2 linked regions of the Alligator mississippiensis genome follow. The protein of the gene in region 2 purifies or fractionates together with the protein of the main gene of each other region. This does not show direct contact. Links are inferred from orthologs where the notes say so. Each region holds a gene or a part of one and is shown on either strand. Other genes may lie near its edges.

Region 1 (10,609 bases), on a different chromosome or scaffold from region 2:
TGACTGTGTTTCCTAAACAAGGAATGGCCATTAGCACCCCTCTGTGCTCTCACCCCAACAAAATACAAGTGTGGTGTTCTGCAGGTCTACAAGAACAGTACTCTCTAATCTGTGTGCTGCTCTCCAGTCTCCCCACCAATATCCTGATGTGCTACTATCTCCAATGCTGTTTTAGAGAGACGTGAGCCTTGGGGACTCATGAGCATATCTGCAAGTGGAGCAAGGGCTGGGCTGCACAATATCCCTCACGCACCTGGGTTCCAGTCAATAGCGTTATCGATGGGGCCGGATGTCTGGTACTTATCCGAGTAGCGCTCAATGTCTGAAAACAAACACACAAGCAGAGCTCAGGGGCAAATAAGACATAGGAAAAGCCACATCCATGGGCACGGAGTCTCAGCTACCCTCACAGCTCACTTAGTGGACGTACAAATTGCACTTGGGTAGCTAACCCAGGATAAAGTTCTAGTGCAGACAAATGTATACCGCTATAGAAGCATTGATATCTTGCATGGGAAGCAGAATAACTGATACCCATAGAAAGCAGCTTTAAAACAGTGTAACTATGTCCACACTAGAGGCTGGAACAGTTCAACTATACCCCTAAAAAAATATCACACCACAGGCAGCTGGAATTTTCAAGAGTAGATCAGGGCTATGGCTGGAGTCTGGGAATGTAAAGGAGTCAGGACAGGCAGTTTGAGCCAATGGATAAAGCACTGGTCTGGGACCCAAGAGACAGGGATTCTCTGCCACTGACTTGACAGGCAAGTCAGAAGCATGGCCGAGTGCCTTCCCTTCTCTGTTCCTCAGTTTCCCCTCTGTAAAATGGGGATGGTGAAGCTTACTTTGATCCTGAAGTACTTTGAGAACTATGGAGTAAAGATGCTTAATAAAGTGGTGGTTGCTATTATTAATAATATTCTAATTAATAAAGCCGCCCTGCAAAAGCACATGGGATAGTAAGCAAGCATCACAAAACAATTTCCCGGTAACTGAGAGTAGCCGGACCCCTACAAAGTAACAGAGATGAACAAAGCAAAAGAGAAACAAACAATGTAATGCATTGAATAGGCTCCAATTTATATTTGCGGTCCCTTTGCACTACCAAAGTGCTGCTGTGATAACAAATCCATAGCTCTTCCCATTAGTACATTGGGCATGGTGTGTTTTTATATTGTGTGTTGCCTGTAGTGCTGTGTGTTGTCTGAGTGGGGAGTGTGTTTGTAGAACGGATATTGCTTTTATCTGCATGTGGTTGTGCGTGCGTGCGAGTTGTATACGTTGTATGTAGATTGGTTGCATACGTTGAATTTCTCTGGGCGCATCTACAGGAGATGCTTACTTTCCCAGATTACTTTCTGGAGGGAGTGGGGGGGGTGTCCATATCATTACCCCTGTTTCACAGATGGGACAACTGAGGCACAGAAGTGACTTGCCTGAAGTCACCCAATGGAAGAGGCAGGGAGAAAACCCAGATGTCCTGCACGTCTACCCTGATCTCTAGCTGCTGGACACCACTGCCTTCTGGACCAGAAATGGACTTCAGCATAACTTAAGATTTCAAGCCTGCTCTATTCCTACGATGAAGTGAATTTACTCCACAGCAAACATGCAGTCTGCCCCCTTAGATGAGCTACCCCCATCTAAATGAGAATTGTCACCAGTACCTTTCTTGGGGGCAGCCGGCTTAACAAAATATGGCAGGTTCTTCATGGCTCCTCTCAGCTCTTGCTTTAATGCCAGCATGTACTCCACCTCCTCACCTGTCTGCAGAGGCACTGGCCTGTACTCCATGGGCTGCAGGGACCAGAAGTGAGGGACACGGTTATTCACTGATAAAATAGGTCATGGTTGGGACTCTAATAGCCACAGTGCTCCTACAAAATCCATCCTTATAGGGGGAAATTTAAACTAGGCTCTTAAAACTCTCTATAGTTTGCAGATGGGGGTTAGGATTCAGGATTCTGTCTTGAGACCACCATTTATGCACAGATATGTACATCCATAGAGCTGTGTGCATGTATTTGCGAGCAAGCACAGGTCTGTATGGTGGGATGCAGTGGCAGAGTGGCTAAAACAGCTTGCTATTACTCTGAAGGCCTGAGTTCGAGTCTTACCCTAGACTGCTTAGAAGGCTGCCTGCAATTTCATGAGTTGTGAAAGGGGTAGCCAGGTGCTTCGGCTACAATGCCCTAAGCTTCTCCGATAAGTGATAGTATCCATGGAAAATGGCATACTCCAGGGGGGGAAAATATATCCATAGAAGATGGTGTCCTCCTGTTGCAGGAGAGTGAGTATTGTTTATGTTCTGACTTCTAATGTTGCTTCATCCTGGGGGCTTGGACTGAGTTTGCTGGGTCTGTCCTACCCCCTGAAGACACACCACAGCCAAAACATGGCGCTGGCATATTCAGCAGGGAAAACAAGGGGCTGGAGGGTTCCCACAGCCTCAGCTCCCACCTGCTGTTCCTCCCCGCACAGAAGGGGACCTCACCGGGAAGAGCGGTGATGGCTGGAGGGTCGAGGGAGGCAGCGATTCTCCCTTCCCGATGCCCACAGCTTCGACGTTGAAGGTCATCTGGCCCCGCCCCCTCCCTCTGCCGCCCCGTCCTGCCATGATGCGCTGGCAGAGACAAAGCAGACATAAGAGAGCTGGGATCCAACGCAGCCGAGGCCTGAAAGGGCAGAGACAGAGAGCCCCTTACAACCCATGGGAACCCTCCTAGGGCCCATTGCCCACATGAAACCCACACCCCAGGGCAAGAGATGAGACCCCAGGCGTAACGTGCAGTTAGTGTGCACAGTTGGCCATAAATTGCCCCAAGGAATCTCTCATCCTCCCCTTTAAGGCTGTAAGATGCAAACACAGGGAATCAAACCAGCCTATTTCAAGCCCCCTTTTAGCCTTGCTTCCTCCATGCCACCTCACTCTCCTCCTGCTATGCTGAAAATTCCCTTCCCAGGAGGTCCTACCTGCTCCTCTACTCCCAGGCCTGCAAGAGCTGCTTTGTTCACATGAGGCAGGCTGGGAAGGGTGAGATGTCTCCAACCCATGCTTCACTTCTCTCCAGGGAGGTTGTCATATAATCCCAGGGCAGGGGGGCTGGCACCTAGTGGGGCAGGATCACCCTGTCCTAACCAACCCAGACACATCCATTCACTCATCGTGGTGTCCTGTGACCAGTGGGGTCCCCCAAGGCTCTGTCCTTGGACCCATACTGTTCAACATCTTCATTAATGATGTGGACACTGGAGTCAGAAGCGGACTGGCCAAGTTCGCCGATGACACCAAACTTTGGGGCAAAGCATCCACACCAGAAGACAGGCGGGTGATCCAGGCTGACCTGGACAGGCTCAGCAAGTGGGCGGATGAGAATCTGATGGTGTTCAACGCCGATAAATGCAAGGTTCTCCACCTTGGGAAGAAAAACCCGCAGCATCCTTATAGGCTCGGCAGTGCTATGTTGGCTAGCACTATGCAAGAAAGAGACTTGGGGGTCATCATTGACCACAAGATGAACATGAGCCTGCAGTGCGATGCTGCAGATAGCAAAGCGACCAAAACGCTGGCTTGCGTCCATAGATGCTTCTCAAGCAAATCCCAGAACGTCATTCTCCCTTTGTACTCGGCCTTAGTGAGGCCGCAGCTGGAGTACTGTGTCCAGTTTTGGGCTCCACAATTCAAAAAGGATGTGGAGAAGCTTGAGAGAGTCCAGAGAAGAGCCACGCACATGATCAGAGGTCAGGGAAGCAGACCCTACGATGACAGGCTGAGAGCCCTAGGACTCTTTAGCTTGGAAAAGCGCAGGCTCAGGGGTGATCTGATGGCCACCTACAAGTTTATCAGGGGTGACCACCAGTATCTGGGGCAATGTTTGTTCACCAGAGCGCCCCAAGGAATGACGACTAGGTCGAATGGTCATAAACTACTATAAGACCGTTTCAGGCTGGACATAAGTAAGAATTTCTTTACTGTCCAAGCCCCCAAGGTCTGGAACAGCCTGCCGCCGGAGGTCGTTCAAGCGCCTTCATTGAACACCTTCAAGAGCAAACTGGATGCTTATCTTGCTGGGATCCTATGACCACAGCTGACTTCCTGCCCTTTGGGCGGGGGGCTGGACTCGATGATCTTCCGAGGTCCCTTCCAGCCCTAATGTCTATGAAATCTATGAAATCTAAATGTTATGTAAGGCTACTGTCCACCCCGACACAAGACAGCACACCCAAAACTGCCACGGGGGAAGAAGGGAACCATGGCCGCTGACATCCTGTTTCTGTGAGCTGCCAGCAATATATGCTCCAGGGATCCCAGGTAGAAGGCCATACCCCCCACTACGGAGGAAGGTAACTCTCCCCCCCCCCCCCGTTTTTTCCAATCTGACCAGTGGGTAAAATCCCTTCCTGACACCAAGGCAGCATCAGTCTGATCCTAAGCAATGGGGCAAAAGCCTCTAGCCAGGCCCCTCCAGGCCTGGTGCCTAGGAGCACTGGCACAGCCCAGTCCCCATCCCCAGCCTCTGGGGGAGCCTCATCATCACCTTGACCCGTGTAGCAGAAAGGGGCAGGGGGGCAACCAGCAAAGCCCAGAAGCCCAGGACTTGCCCATCTGATGCAGAGCGCCCCCTTCCCTGGGCCTCTATGCCACTGCCCCCCTCCTGGGTCCCGACTGGAGAACGTGAGTGTGTAACCGGAGAAGGGCCCCCTGGGGCAGAGCTGGCATCCCAGCGCAGGCCGGGCAGGCTCCGTGCCGGGTGCGCACCCGCAGTGCCCCCGCGGGGCGGCAGCAGCGAGGCAGCCCCCGGGCGCGGAGGGCCCAGCGCGGGCTGCACAGAGCAGGCCCCAGCCCCAGCACCGGCCCCGGCCCCGGCCGCGGGGGTGCGACGCTGCCATTGGGCCGCCGAGCCGGACCGGGCCCAACCGAACCGCGCGTTACCTGCCCAGCCCGACCCGGCCCCGCCCGCTCCGCACGTGGCCGCCGCGAGCCCGGGATACAGCGCGTTCCAAGGGGCGGGGCCGGGGCGGGCCGGCGGGCGCTCATTGGTGCGCGCCGTGGCCATTCGGGTGACGTAACAGGAGAGGGCGGGGCGGCGGCGCGGGAAAGGGCTATAAATGCGGAACCCGTTGGGGGGGAGGGGGGAAGGGCTCTTCCTCGCTGCTGGTTTGGGGGCGTGTCACAGTCCCTGCTGATTTTGATGGGGGGCGGTATTTGTATATGTGCCCCTGCTGGCTTGTGGGGAAGGATGTATGTAGGTCTGCGGGGGGAGGTGGATGCAAAGCCAGCTGTGGAGTGGAAGAAACCAGCTGCTCTTGAGTCTAGGCCAGGGCAGCCGCAAGGAAAGGGAACTCCCCCTGAATCACCTATTGCACCCTGATGGACCCCTACTGCTCCCTCGTGGCTGCAGGGTAGGGGCGAGACGGACAAATCCCGCGTGAGATGGGATTGGTGATTCTCAGCCAGGGTGCTGCAGTGCCGTGGGGTGCCTGGAGATCCTGCCCGGAGGGGCTGCAGAGTGCCGCACCACGTTAGTGCGATTAGGTGCGTGCGCGCGATTCGCAAGAGGAAACCAAAGAGCATTCGGAGCTGCTGAGGTCTTTGCAACAGAAGAATTGCTCCAGGATTTTTCTGTCGTCAAAAATAAAGTGAAGACTCGGAGCTGACATTTTCTGAGGTGTGCCTCGAGTCTGAAAAAGAATGAGGACCACTGAATTGGACAAATGCATGGATGCCGGGTCCATCAGGGGCTATTACACCCAGCAGCTGGGGATATACATACCCATGTCCTACCAGCGGTGGCTGGGAAGGTCAGGCTGAAGGTGTATCGCTACCCACATGCTAATTCCCAGATTCTTTAAAGCATTAATTACTTGCTGCTTTTGGAGACGGGAAACTGGGCTGGAGGGGCCTCCGGTCTGATGCAGGAGGCTATTCTGTTCTTGCTAATATTGAGCAGTGATAAGGATGAACCTCTTCCTCTGTGCACGCTCACACACGCGCATCTTGGGAGCCAGATCTGCTCACAGTTGCACAGATATAAATAGCAGAGAGAGGGATGGTTTCAGGAAGGCACATCCATATGCCCTGTTCTTTGCTGAAATTTCACTCCCCCCTCTTCCTCTGATTGCTGAGCTCCCTGCTGTCTTGCTTCCGCCTGCCTGCAAAGGCCTTGGGGCTAGGATTGAAGGCCATTGATGAAGGTGTGCATGCAGGGACCCCAGGGCTGGTAGAACAGGGGGTGTGGAGCACTGCTGGCCAGCACAGCACCCCCAAATATACTTGTCCAGTTAGCAGGAGGCCTCGGCCTGTTAGTGTACTGCCAGCTCCAGCAAAGGGTTAATGGGTAACCGCAGGAGATGAGCCCAGGAAGGCTGCAGCTATTTTTACCTGGGGAATCAAAGGGAGGCTAAACTATCTCCTGCCTGCAGATAACCAAGCTCCCCCCTGCCTCTTCTGTTCCCTCCGCTGCAACTTCCCATCACCAGGCAGCTGAGGGGGGCATAGGCTCACCAAGGAGAGAGCACCAGGAGAGGAACACTGGTACACTCGGCCTTGATCCTTTCCACCAAGACCCTACCAGGGTCATGGGGTGACATGGAGCTCCGGCCCTTGAAATGCCTGTGGGTGAAGTCCTGACTCTGCTGAAGTCTGTGGCAAAGCTTTGCACTGAGATCAAAGCCATCAGGAGGTCGCTTTACATATTGGCTGTGTTTGGGGTCAGTGCCGAAGCAAAGGGGAGCTGTGCAGATGTAGTTACAGGCCCTCCTCCGCCAGGCTTTTCTCCTATTGCTTCCTCCAAGCACCAAAGCTAGTTGCTTCGCCTGCCAGCCCAAGGCACTGAAGTCCTGGATCTGGCTGTTAGGGGATGTTCTGTCCTAATGATGTTTTCTCAACACCACCTCCTGCTTGACCCTTGCCCTGAGAGGTCAGTTACTATGTTTAAGCTGTAGCAGGAGTAGCCGTGTTGGTCTAAGGACATAAGCAGACAAAACTCTTGGGGTAGAGGTGATATCTTTTATTACACCAACTAAATAGTTGCAAAAACATTTTTTTGCAACTATTTAGTTGGCCTAATGAAAGATATCACCTCCAACCCCAGAGTTTTGTCTACATTTAAGCTAGTCCTTCCAATCCAAGTGAATGGAAGGAGCTGTAGGGAAATAGGGAAAGAAAAGCTGGCTTCATGGTCAGGAAAACTGGGATCAAGTTCCAGCTCTGACACCAAGGGCCAATACGTGGCCTCGACACCTCATTTAACCCTGCTGTGCAAAAAGGGATAGGGGGAATGATGGCACTGCCCTGGTGTGCAGAGAGGGTGAAGGTGAATACATTCGAGATCACAATAAAGTGCCCAGATACCATGGTGGTGGGTATTGGTATAAGCACCACAAATTGGTGGGTATTGGTATAAGCACCACAGATACCATGGTGGTGGGTATTGGTATAAGCACCAGATCAGGTCCAGGGTAGGGGGTTTCTGTCCCTTGAAACGTCTTCCTTATCTAGGGCGGCAGAGCCCCCAGCCCCTCTGAGCAGAATGAGGCACCACCACGGTTCCTCCCAATGCCAGCCTCCCCCCTACCCCCCCACCGTGATGCTTTCAAGCAGCTCCTCGGCTGTGTGCACTGGAGTGATTCATCTCATTCCCTGGTGCTGCCCAAAAATAGCAATGCAGGAGCTGGGGGTGGGGGGGTGCAGAGGATAAGCCAACTCGACCCCAAAATAACCACCTGCATCTGGGTTGTGCAGGGATGCAAAGAGGGAGAGAGAGGCACCTCGCTCCCACCTCCCGTTTCCAGGGCGCTGGGATCTATCCTTGCTCAGCAGCAGGACCGTCGCCCTGGGATACTGTGCCCAGCTGTGAAGTTGCCTAGGCAACCAAGGGAGGAGGATGAAGGAAGGGAAAGATGATGGGAAAGAAAGAGAGAAAGAAAGAAAGATCAGGGAAGGGATAGGTGGCCCTTTCCCCCACCCCAACTAGCTTCCCCTGCTTCATGGTTCACCTCAAGGACCAGTTCTCTCCCCTGCTTGAGATGTCATCTGGGATTTCCAAAGGGGTTTGGTCCCATGCACTTTCAAAAGCACTGGGGCCCCTTGGAGCATCTCCACTGCAGGAGGGCTCAGAGCTGCAGGAGTTGAAACCTGGGAGATTGGGATTGCCCAGCTAGGTCCTGCAGACCCTTGTGCTGCTTTATTAAACTCATGGTCCCAGTCAGTGGTTGGGGTGGGCCAGACCAGCTCAGCACACACAGCGGTGAGAAGACAGTGCGCCTGGCGCTGATAGACTTTTTGGGGTCCAAGAGTGCCAGCCAAGTCCTCCCAGGTGGATGTGCCTATGGGCATGTACATTCCTGCATTCAGGGGTATGCAGCCCTTTCGTGCATCCCCTACACTTACACCAGCTGGACACCCACTCCTCAGCCATTGCACCTACATAGTGCAATAAGCACTTTTATATCAGTGTAGCCGCATCTACATTAGTGGGTAGGACTGCGGCATCAGTAAAAAAAAATCACACCCCAAGCCAATATCACTGTCCCACTACAAAGCAGGGGCTGTACAGCACCTAGCACTACTGATAATGCCGCAGTGACAGTAACTCTGTTTTAAATCCTGCTGTCACAGAGTTGGGCTAAAATCAAAGGCTCACAAATTAGGAAGGAAATGGATTTTTCCCCCCGCTGCCACCTGGTTGGCTGAGAACTTGGGGCAAAGAGCAGGAGGGAATATAATTAGGCAGGGTAACCATAGCAACAGTGCAAGGCAGGTGTGAAGAAGTGTGCAGGCTGCCTGTCACAGGCTCCGCTGGATGCAGAGGCACATGCCCATCAGCACATCTGCCTGAAAATCTCCTGACCCTGCCAACCCTTGGCTGTATCTCACCTGTTCCCTTCATGCACTCAATGCTTTGGAAAGGGCTGGAGGAAATCATTGAGGTGGAGAGAATCACAGCTGCAGTGCCTGTGTTTCAGGATACTTTGCAGATGCTGACCAACATCAATTCCTTCATTACACAGATGGGGAAACTGAGGCAGGGAGGAAGGGGAGGGTCTTGGACCTGTACAGGGCAGAGCTGAGTGGCCCTGATTTAACCACCAGGCAGCACATCCCACCCAGGCCTAGGATGAGGTTGAAGATGAGACTGAAATGACCATATGAAGCAAGGAATGGAGTATCTTAAGCCCTGCCTGCAGGCCCGGGGCCCAGGGCTCCCATGTCCTGCACCTTGTCACAGGGGTGTAGATTGTAGCCATGTTGGTTTAAGGACACAGGCAGACAAGGTTCTTTGGGTAAATCTGATGTCTTATATTAGACTAACTCGAATATTTGGAAAAATTCCCCCCAAATTCCAAAAAGCTTGCAAAAAAGAATTTTTCCTGCAGCTTGTCAGTCACGTATAGTGGTGCGAGGAAGAAGGCAGCAGGTAAAATATTGTCCTGAGACTTGGGACACCGGGGGGCCACATGCTGAGCTCTGCTATGTGAGCTTCAGCAAGCCATGCCCCATCTCTGTGCCTCAGTTTCCCCTCCCATCTGCTGTTCTGGAGGGGCAGGGACCCTCTCGCTGTGTGTTCAGCTCCAAGCACAACAGGACTCCAATCTCAGCCGGGCAGGACTGTGGGCAAACAGGGGACCGCAGGCCTCTGCACTGTTCAGGCTTATAGTACAGTATGGAGCACTGTACTCATTCATAGCATCCTACATGGAGGGGTTGGAGAGATGGATTTGACCAGGACTGAGCATAATTCATAACCAGTGGAAGGGAGGAGGGGGAGGTGAGGAGGAGGCGGACCGATTCCTATGTATATTGGTGCAGTGTTATCTCTCGGTGTATTTTAATGGAATATCTACTTCTGTTCTATGGGAAAGGGGCTAAAAATAGCAGCTCGGAGCTGTCTAAGCAAAGAACCCGGAGGTCTCTGATGGTAACTGAGAGACACCAGAGCTCAGTAACATATCTGCAGGGCTGCAGCCAGAAGGGGTGTGTGTGTGGCTGTGTGACACAGAAGCGATGCTACCCAAAACTGTACAGAGGGGCTGCGATGGACTGAATGATTTGCCTCCCATTTATTTATTCCCTGTCTCTGGATGAAGGAGACAGATCTTTTTCTTTTCTTTCTTTTTTTAAATGTAAGCACCTGCGTGTGCACACACAAACACGCACCCCACATACACACACACATGGTGCATGAATGTGTTGCAAAGAGCTTAAGACATGAAAGAGCTGCGGGTCCCTGCTTTCCTTTCTGGAGGGGGCAGAAGCATGTGGCCCCAAGGAGCTGGCAGGAGGTGACAGGCAAGATCCGGAGGGCTCCAGGTATGATGCTTCTCTTTAAAAAAAGGGAAAAAAGGAGAGGGCTGTTACAGAATATAGTGCATCTTCCTTTGCCCGTTTCACCGCTCTCCCCCAGCTGCTGCTGGAACTGAGAGCATCTCAGCAGGCTGGTGCATTGGGGGCTGCCTTTATGCTAAAATGCATAAGGAGATGGGGAAGATTACCAGATCTGGTCTGTCGGTCCAAATGACTGTCAGTTTATCCCCAAACCCCATGCCTCACTCACTGTCGGTTTTCAGACGAACCTGCCTCGCTGGAGTTCTTGGGTTGCATGCA
Region 2 (10,427 bases):
GAGAAGACCTGCATTGCTCCTGAGAAGGTCCAACTGTCCCTGGAAGACAGACACAAACTATTTAATCCAGTACTTGGCTCTTTGCCAAGAGCAGGAGTTTGACATTTACCTTCTATACTTTATAGCCATGAAATGTCACTTAATTTTATTCGACTAAGATGGCTAAAAAACATAATACATTTTCACCTTCTGGAAATACCATTGCATTTTAAAATCAGTTGGCTCAGCAAGTAACACCGGTCAGTAAAGGTCACAGACACTGCTCCCAGCCTCTTTCTGTAACTGGAAAACATTAACTTTTTGCTCCCTTCCAACACTGCATAAAGGCTGTAAAGTACCAGTGTACACTTCCTGCAGCCTGCAATAACATGCCCATTTATTTAAACAAAAACACTAACAAATTGCCATGTGTACAGGTTAAAAGCAGTGTAACAGCTTGAAGGCTTCCCAATTTCCAAAGGCAGGGTCAGAGCCTTGATCTAATGGCTAAACTAGGTCACAAGAGAATGGCTGGAGGATCATAAACAGCATAATGTTAATAGCTGTCCTCTTCCCCCAGGTCAAGTAGTCAACAATGCTCACATAGGGGTTGTCCCATCCTTAAACACTTAACTGTCTTTATCTTGCCAATTATCAGTCTCTTAGCCTTCCTTTTTACAAAAATATCACCTGGAAAGAAGAGAGTAGTAGATTCTTTCCAGTATCATCAGACATACTCCAGGCTTTTTTAACCCAACTCAGTAAGGTCTCAGACAAGGATGTGGTGCAAAAAACTCTCCATATCAAGGACAAGCATCCCTGCTAATGCTACTAGCTATTTCTCCAGCCTTCGTAACTGTTGCTTATGAGGTGCTACTGTCCTGCCTTTGGGACCTGAAGGTGGCAGCTAGACGCAGGCTAATCAGCTCTGCTCCTTTTTGTCTTAAAGATCACTGAGGATTAGAGGTGAAACGATACATCAGTCCATATTGTATCAGTGTAACTGGCCACAGCACACACATGGCCAGCTTGGAGAGCGGAGTCTGGCTGGCAAGTTTGTTGCAGGGTGAGAAGGGTGTTGATGAGCGGGGGTGAGGGGGTTGCACAGATTGAGGCCCCTGTGATGAGGGAGAGGGTGGGGCAGGCACTGCCCAGCCAGGGTAGAGCGCAGTGTGGGACAGAGCTGTGAGAGGCTCATCCTGGGGCTGCAGGGGACGGATCCCGCCACTGTGCTCATCCCCACGGGAGCGTGTGCCCCCCGGATCTGTGCTCGGGGCAAGGGCTGCTGTGGGTTGGGTGTGGTGCCAGGCTCTTCCCAGTAGAGAGCTTGGGCCAGGGCTGCGTTTGTGTTGAGTGATAGCAGCACCCAGCATGCATTTCTTAAGATGTGGACAAAACAGCTGGCTTCATCCAGCCCTTTCGTAAGCTCAGTCCACTTCCAAATGGGATGTATAGAAAAACATTTAAACCATTTTTACCACAAAGCCTTTGGTAAAAATTGCCAACATCCCCTCATTTGAGTGTACTTGCCCCTGTTGTCACAGAAACTAACGTTTTCAGGACCCTAGGCTCTTCTCCAGAGTACTTCCAAAGACCAGCAGGGACCAAATTGCATTCTTTCATCTTTGGCACACAGGTCTTGTCATTATCACCTTTGTTATCTCAAACGACTACTGCAACAAGCTCTACCTAGGTCTGATCCTGAAGTCCACTGTACCTTTTTTTTTTTTTTTTTTTTTTTAAAGGTAGGACAACCTGATGACAGCATATTACATCAACATGCTGTTATCAGTTGCCTGCCCACCACTATGCAGGTGAAAGCTCAGAAGAGTGCAGGATCACATATCACCCCCCAAAAAAATTCTTGCCTCTCACAATTCCTGGACCACCACAGCTACAACATCACGAATACAGTACTACCATATGTCACAACCCAAAGTTGTGATTTTTTGTTTGTGTGCGCGCTTCGGCACCGCTAAATTATTTCCCGCCAATTTGTCACTTTCTTTGCACGGTAGAGTTCTCTGCTGCAAGAGAGAACTCTGGTGCAACGGGGGATTTCCCGCCAAATTATATCTTCTTTGCAGTGTGCATTTCTTTTGCATCATAGTGATACACGCTGTAAAGAAGTTCCCGCCATTTGTATTAGGATCCGTGCCACATTATTGGCCCATTCCTAATGTAGGCACACGTGGCGGCTAGCGATTGGCTTGCTAGCCGTACAAAAGGCTTGGGTAGTTTCCGCCCAAGCCGGAGGAGGGAGGATGAGAGAGATTCTGTGTGAAGATCTCCAAGCGCTGCGGACCCAACGCGCCTCCCCTAAGCAGGCAATAGAGGCAATGGAACCGAGCCTACGGAGCTTTCGCTTCTCGCCGCTCCCCATCACTGAGCGCAATCCTAGACGTATCCCTTTCCTGTAACTTCGGACCCGCGGAGCATAAGTAACTCCGGGGAAACTTTTCGAACCTAACCAAACCCAATTTTCGAACCCACGGAGTCTTAACAGCTCCAGGAGACCTGGGAACCGAACCGGACCCGCGGAGCCTGAGCAACTCTGTGGGAGCAATCGATTTGTGGTGTTCCTCTAGTGAGGATCCAAGCGGAAGCTGTGCCTGGAAACCTATCCAGCCTACACCAATACCATCTTTGGGTGTAAGTAAACAATCTTTTCGATCAACCATTATGCCTCCATAACTAATTCTAACTCGCGTGCGCTAAACCGCCCTGCGGTTCTCTCCAGCCCCGCGTGCCTGGGCTGCCGGCCACAGCCCGTGTGCAACAAAGACGGGCCCGGCTTGCCCCCGGCTCGCACATGGCGACGGGAATGAGATCGGAATCACCGCCGCACATGGCGAGAAAGGTGGGATCGGGGCGCGGCCCACACACCATACATGTGACCCTTGGAACAAAAAGATGAGTACAGGATACATTCAACAGCGACCTTTTGCTTCTAATATTTAGTGTGGACATCTTTTTCTACATTGAGCCATAAGTCTGGCCACGTTTCTAGCAAAAGGTCTTGTTATTATTATGACAAGATCAAGGCATGGGATTTCACCATCACAAATGCTCTCAGGGAAGCTGCTCTGTTCACTGTGGAGGAATGCAAGGAACCTGGGTCACCACTTCGGCATAATACTGGCTGGTGCTATTTGAGCCTGTGCAGCTATACTTGGTTATGTGGGTGTTACAGAATAACAAATGCAACTAAAATTAAAGCAGATAAAGAGGTCAGAGAGAAGCTCAAAACTAAATAAAAATCAGCCTTCAAATCCTGAATCTGGTAGAATTTGAATGAAATATAGGTCCCACTGAAGCCAGTGGCAAAACTTCCTTTGATGTCAGTGGATCTTGACTTCCACTTAGTCTCCCAAGGGAATAAATGTGCTTAACGACCCTGTCATGACCCAATGATTGTGTGTGCGCTTCGGCACTGCAGAATTATTTCCCGCCGTCGGGAGCTTTCTTTGCACAGTGCAATTCTCAGCTGCAGAGAGAAAACCCCGGTGCAAAGGAGTTCCCGCCACCCGTATGTAAATTTGTGTCCCACTATTGGCTGTTTCTAAATTATTTCCACGTGGCGGCTAGCGATTGGCTTGCTAGCCGTATAAGAGGCTTGAGCAGTTTCCGCCCAAGTCGGAGATCTCCGAGAATCTCAGGAGGATCCTGAGAACCCTGATTCCGAGAATTCCGGGAGAAATCCGAGAGAATTCCGGCAAGGAGTCCACGATTATCTCGTGGATTTCTACGTAAATCTCGGACCGAATGGTGGTTTGATCAGCCATCAAGAGTCTCTCCCCGTCACCGAACAATCCCTGACGTATCCCTACCCTGCATGCTCGTTGAGAGTCACAGCTCGGACTCTCGTATAGGTTCAGAGAGCTCTCATCGTTCGAGTTTTTTTTCTTTTCTTCTATCTACAACTGTAACCAAGCAAGTTTTCCTGCCTGCACTGCGACCATCTACAGTGTAAGTAAAACAATCTTTAATCAACCTCCACGCGTCAGTGCCTAATTCTAGTCCGCCGTGCCGACTTCCCCGGCCTACGTGCCCGGGCTGCTGGCCACAGCCCCTCGGCCCCAACAGACCCAACTGTGTTATCCCTGCACTAAAGAAGAATAGCAGTAAGCTGCTGCTAACACTGAACAAAACACGTTTTCTGCTCTAGCCAGTCCAAAAAAGTGAGCAGGCCAGGCCCAGCCCTAAAGCCACACCTGCTTAGGAAGCAAGGGTGCAGGCAGGGAAGCTGTGAGGGGATGGGCTGGTGCCCCCACCAAGCAGATGCAACCCTACCATGGAGAGCAGCCGGTTGATGGCCACGGCCCGCTGCTGGGCGTCCGTGTGGGGCATCTCGTTCTGGATCACCTGATCCGTGATGCCGTGGGGAAACTGATGGCAGAGCTCGATGATCCTGAGTGGGATGAGGAAGAGGAGTCAGTGTGGGTTAGGGTTACCATACGTTACCACGGACATTTCCTGGACATGTCCTGTTTTTGGGTCCTCCTATCTCTATCTAGGCAGTTTTTTTAAATATCAGCAAGTGTCTGGGATTTTGCTCTCCCCGGCTTGTCCCAGCAGCGGGGAAAGTTGAGTAGAGGCTGGTCACCAGTTCTTTGAGCACGGGCCCCAGCAGCTGCAGGGGTGCAGATGGGGGGGGGGGGGGGGGAGTGTGCCTGCCTGCTTGCTAGCACTGGGGCTGCAGCAGGGCAAGGGAGTTGGGGGCAGCAGGCCTGGGGTGGGAGGGCAGGGAGCTGCAGATCAGGAGTGAGGGGCACAGGAAGGCTGGGGGGGTGGGGCAGGGGGCTGTGGGTTAGAAGTGAGGACCAGGGGCAGGGCACGGACATGTCACTATCGCCCCCTCCATCATATATCCCTCCCCCCACCTACAGGTACCTTCTTTTTTTAAAATGGAAATACGGCCACCCCAGTGCGGGGCTCCCCCATGGCCCCGTACCCGCCCCGCCAGAGACACCGCAGGGCCCGCCCGGCACCTGTTCTCTACGTCCAGCGGGTCCGGGACCTCGGGCTTCACCTTGACCTCGGCCATGGCGCTGGGGGAGGAGAGGGACGCCTCCGCGCTCCCCACGCACAACTCCCCGGCAGCGACACCAGGGCCGTGCGGCGCGCACTGATGACGCTAACCACAAACTCCACCCTCACCGAACGCCACGGGCGCCGGTTGAGAGGGAGCGCGCGGCGGACCAATGAGAGGCTGCTGCCTCGGGGGGGCGGGGCTTGGCGGGGAGCGTCCGTGGTAACGGCGGGGCGACGGGGGGCGACGGAGAGGGTGAAGGCCCGGGGGGTGGCATTTCGCTGCGCTTTTATCTGCCTCGCCCGCCTGCGTGCGGGGGGTGAGGGGGATGCGTATGTGTGTGCAGGGGAGTGTGGAGGTGTGCACATACATGTAGGTGTGTTCATGCACATGCACACAAGGGTGTGCGCACACACGTGCCCCCTCACTCACATGTTCATTTTAAAAGTCATATGCTGTTTTGTTTTTCAGGTGTCCACACAGAGGGAAAAAATGACTGCTGGTTCCGTCCTCGTGCCTCAGATTATACCGCTTCAGCTTCCTCTTGCCCGGAAGGCGAAACATGAAATAGATACAAATACCCTCGTTGAAATTAAGTCAGGTACAAACAGCAGCTTTCAGTCTATAGTGGAAGCTCTTCTCCTCTTCTTCTGCAAATTGATGTCCATGCTTTTTGATACTGCATTTGTATTCACACCTTTTTTCACGGGTACCCATTTTCTTAAGTGACCAGCATAAATTTTATGGGTCTTAATTCTGCAAACACACCTGTGCTTTATACGCGTGGGTAGTCCGACTGTAGTGAACAGCGCTATTCACATAGTGTAAACTGTATGGTAAATCATAGGTGTCTGTATTTGCAGGATCAGGGCCTTTAATTCCACTACTTTTGTCCTCCTTCCATTTGAAGTGATGCTGTGTTTGTTCTGTAATCACAGTGTAGTATGAAAACCTGGGCGTTTGATGATTTTGCAGTATGCTACAATTTTTCAAAACTGGGACTTTCTCGTCAGTTCTTCTCCAAAGGTCATATCTGCCAGTTCTGAAATTCCAGTTTCTATTTTTCAACCATAATCCATGTTCACATTAGAACGTGCAAGACTTAGAACCAGTGTTTGTTTTCATACAAGATCACCTGCTCTACAGTTATCTTCTGAGAAGGGAAATCCCTGTGATGAAATTGTCCAACTATTTTGTTGCTGAATTTTGTGAGGCTTAAAAATTGATATAGTCCAGGCCTTGCAATCACTTGCACACCTGCTTAATTTTGCTTAGATGAGTAATTAAGCATATGCAAGCCTCAGCAGTACTAGACCTTCCTTATTTTTGCAAAGTCCCAATATAGTTTTAATGCATATCTTATTTGTGTCTTGCAGATACCCCTGATGTCACCATATACTACACTTTAGATGGAAGTAAACCAGAGCTCTTTAGAAAATCTGGCTATGGAGAGCATAACACTTTTAAGTATAAGGGACCTATCACCTTGCCTGATGGGAAAATAATGGTCAGAGCTACGGCAGTCACAATGTAAGTAGCAACTGTCTATCTTATATTGTTGTTGTTGTTATTTATACTGCAGCAGTGCCTGAGAATGGCAGTCAGAGATCTTGACTACCCTGTGCCAGATGCTGTACAAATACAGAATGAAAGATACTCCTTGCCTCACAAGGCTTACAATATAAGTACCTTGTATGGATTCCTTTTCATTGATATCAGTTTGCCACCACATTTATTAGTATTTACTAATTACTTGCCATGGGCAGTAGTCATGGATGAGGGCCCAATTTCACTAGGCACTATAGAATCTTGCCATGAAAAGTTTTCATCATAAATACATTTGTATAATAGTTTTTATTTTCTTAATAATTTACTTTTAATGAGCCCACTTCAAAAGATGAGCTAACACATTTTCCCACTAATGCTGTGTGGTAGTTTAATATTCCTTTTCCCATTTTACACATGGCAATCCAGAGACGGGAGCAGTCTTTCCAAGTTTCTGTGAAGTCCGTCTTTCCAGGTTTTTGTGGGTGTGGGCATGTAACAATTGAACCATTTAAAAAAATGTCACTGATTGGGAACTGGTTCACAATTGTCATGAGTCAGAGATGTTGGCATGTACAGTGCCCTAGCCTTCCAGGTAGAAGGATTACCTTTTAGCCATTGAAGAACTGTAGCTCCAACACCAGAGGATGGGAGTGAGCACTCAGCCCAGCCTGCCTCACATTGGGCAAGTAATGGGAGAAGAGTGCTTACACCCATGCTTTGAGGATCCTAAGGGGTGAATGACCTGTGATTGTGGTTCACTTTTTTGCTTTCCCTTTTCTCCTAAACATGAAAGTTCAGTAGCGTGCACTTGACCAAAGTCTGCAGTGTGCTTACCTGCCTTGTTGGGGAGAGGGGGAGTGCTTGGATCCATATTTTTGCGTTCCCGGAGGGGGCATAATGAAGGACCATGGCTGAGTAGGGGATAAGGGCACAGCTGGTTGCTAGAAAAATAGCTTTCATTAAACCAGCAGTGCCCTATAAATGTGGTAAAAAGTGCCAACAAAAAGAAAAAAGAAGGGGCAGTAGAATTCTGGTCCTATACCAGAGCAGAAAGTTACAGCAGAGGGGAGAGGGGATGAGAAGTGATGCAGTGTTGGGTGCTTAGACCATGGAAACCCCCACCAATCTGAATCATGGACAACTTGGACTCCACAAATAACATTGACGCAGTTCACAGTGAACCAGTTCAAAAGAGTACTTGATTTTCCAGGTACTCATCTGAACCATTCCAGGCAGTTTAAAATTGGTTTAACAGACTAGTATGTCTATCAGGTTTAAACAGCATGTAAACTATTCTTAGTGTTATGTCTGTCCAGACCCAAAGCATACTGCTCAAGGCCATCTACTAGATTAGTAATAGATTAAAGGCTAGTTGTTCATAATCCCAGCCCCACAAGCCTCACTAGATCACACTGGGTGCATCTACACATGCAAATGATGCTAGATGGGTTTACTCCACAGTAATTTACTGTGGAGGAAACCCACCCTGGGTAGGCATCTACATCTGCAGGCATTTGGGACCAGATTTGCTCCCAAACAGAGCAGCCCAGAGAAGGATGCTCCCACCCTGGTTTGGCCCCCTGAAGCAGCCAGGGGAAACTTTAGGCTCCCACTGGGTACAAGCCCAGGGGCTGGCAGAGAGCATGGGGCCAGGAGACAGCTGTCTCCTGGTGGGGGATGGGAGACTGCTCCTTGCCCCTGGGAGGTGTCTGCTGCTAGGGTAGGCGCCAGTGGTGAAGCCTGGCTTGGGACTGTGTTCCCCTGCCCCAGCAGCAGAGAGCTCGAAGCCCCGGCTCCACAACTGCGGGCAGGGGGCTTGGAAATTGCTGCAAGGGAGGGGCAGGTCCCAGCCTCCTACCCCAGTCCACCAGTGGGGCAGCTAGCAGTGAACCTCAGCTGAGTGGGGATTTCTCCCTGTTCCACCAGTGGGGCAGCTAGCAGTAAGCCCCAGCTTGGCGGGGATTCCCTACTCAGTCAGGAACTCACTGCTAGCTTCCCCACTGGCAGATGAGGTCAGGAGCCTGGGACAGCTCCCAACCACCCCCGGCTTTGCAAGGAATCCTTGCCCAGCTGGAGGCTCACTGATAGCTGCCCCACCGACGGATTGGGCAGGGGGCTGGGACCTGCCTGTCCTCTGCAGCTCTTTCCAAGCCCCCTGCCCCTAATTGTGAAGCCACAGCCAGGAGCTCCATGCTGCTGGGACAAGGGACCATTGTCGCAGCCCAGGCTCTGCCATTGGAGCCCGCCCTGGCAGCAGGCAACTCCTTGGGGCAGGGAGTTATCCACCCTTCCTCCCACCCCCTCTCCTCCTCCCCGCCAGCTGCCCAACTGACTGGAAGCAAATTTGATCCTGGTCAGCTGTCTACACAGGCAGACACTTATTGCACAATACATTGGTCTACTCCACAGCAAATGCAGGTAGCAAATTAATTACATAGTTACTGCATAGTAAGGCATGTGTAGATGGCTGACTGGGAACAAATTTTCTTCCAGTCAGCCAGGCAGCAGGGGGCGGGAGATTGATCCCTGCCCCTGGGATCTTGCTGCACAGTAAATTGTTCTACTGTGCAATAAAGCATCTTGAGTAGACGCACCCACTGTCTCCTAATATTAAAATTCTAGCGCTTGAATTTTAAGCATTGACCTGGCCGTGGTGCCACTAGTTTCTTGTTCAGCATTTGTGGATGTTGGAGCATACTTGGAAGTTCCACTCCCTGGGTTTCGGGGCTGAGGTATCAGTGACATGTTGGTGTGTTGCAGCAGAGAGTGCTGGCCTAAGCTGCTTTTAGAGCTGCACTATGGACCCCTAATTATAAGTAGTCATACAAAGTAGGAGATAAATACTCCCCTACCATACATCCTTATAAATAATGGGGGGCATGCTGCCTTCTCTCATGCAAATGAATGGCACCCTAGTAATCACTAGTAAGGCATATTGGGAGCAAAGAACAGGTGAAAGAGGATTTTTGTGAAAGAGGAACAGGTATTAAATGTATCCATTTTTTTTCTATCCGTTTTTATTGGTGAATTTTATCATACCTAGAATATCAGTGGTTTGTTTGACTGGGATTATGCTTGTTTGATGAAATAGTAGTCTGCTGTCCAGAAGGAGGAGTTTCAAGACAGGACCTATTTTCAGTGTTGATTTACTTTTTACTGCACATAATTTTGTGGTATACCTTTTTACTGACTTTCAGGGACTGCAGAGAAAGTGCCATTGTAACAAAGATGTTTTTGGTAGAATACAAGCCACCAAACATACTGTTCTCTGATGAAGATAATGATGAGAATTTCCTGAAGGACCTCTCCAAACAGGCAAGTTACAGTAACAGTAAGTCCTTGTTTAGCCATAACAGTATTAACTTTCACAGAGATTAAATCCTGTTAACCACAGAGTATAATTATTTTAATTTACCAGTTTGTCCGTCTTAGTTGCTTTTACACTTTTCTAAAAGTGGCTGTTTTTTCTTTGTTAGAAGAGCCAATTAGAACTATTCTGATCCAAATGGATAAAAGCCTAAGATTTAAAAAATATTAAAACATATGTCTTAACATGTAAATCAATTTTTAATTAAAATATTTTTTCTTTTAAAAATAAAACTACTTAAAAGTATGAGTAATATTTATTAATTCCAGTTTGAAATGCAAAATGTGTAGACAGACTATTTTTCTTTCCTCTATCCAGTACATTGAGAGTAGGTTTTTTGTACCAAATATAAAAAATGAATAATTGTTGGGTTTTGAGCATTTTAATGAGGCCTGCTGCCTCCCAGGGGCCCGTATCTGGGATGTAGCTGAAAGGAACCCTAACCTTATCTGACCCTTCAACCACTACCTCACATTCCTCATCTATGTGGGTACAAACGAC

Evidence for each region.
Region 1: the proteins of POLR3F (region 2) and POLR3GL purify together in Homo sapiens (co-immunoprecipitation; 5 studies listed by BioGRID and IntAct, counting the BioPlex papers as one, with this or other methods). This does not show direct contact. The link is inferred for Alligator mississippiensis from reciprocal best matches to the Homo sapiens genes POLR3F and POLR3GL.

Annotation. Positions count from the first base shown.
Region 1 is NC_081838.1:17,884,592-17,895,200, reverse strand, and holds the start of POLR3GL (DNA-directed RNA polymerase III subunit RPC7-like), read right to left. Parts: upstream 5,004-10,609; 5' UTR 4,937-5,003; intron 3,322-4,936; exon of another isoform or gene 2,977-3,321; intron 2,679-2,976; 5' UTR 2,621-2,678; coding exon 2,498-2,620; intron 1,801-2,497; coding exon 1,671-1,800; intron 323-1,670; coding exon 254-322; intron 1-253. UniProt on the Homo sapiens protein: DNA-dependent RNA polymerase catalyzes the transcription of DNA into RNA using the four ribonucleoside triphosphates as substrates. Specific peripheric component of RNA polymerase III which synthesizes small RNAs, such as 5S rRNA and tRNAs.
Region 2 is NC_081824.1:231,045,852-231,056,278, forward strand, and holds the start of POLR3F (DNA-directed RNA polymerase III subunit RPC6), read right to left. Parts: upstream 5,116-10,427; 5' UTR 5,027-5,115; coding exon 4,971-5,026; intron 4,391-4,970; coding exon 4,273-4,390; intron 40-4,272; coding exon 1-39. Other genes in the region: DZANK1 (double zinc ribbon and ankyrin repeat-containing protein 1), read left to right, coding at 5,402-5,612, 6,388-6,541, 9,757-9,874. UniProt on the Homo sapiens protein: DNA-dependent RNA polymerase catalyzes the transcription of DNA into RNA using the four ribonucleoside triphosphates as substrates.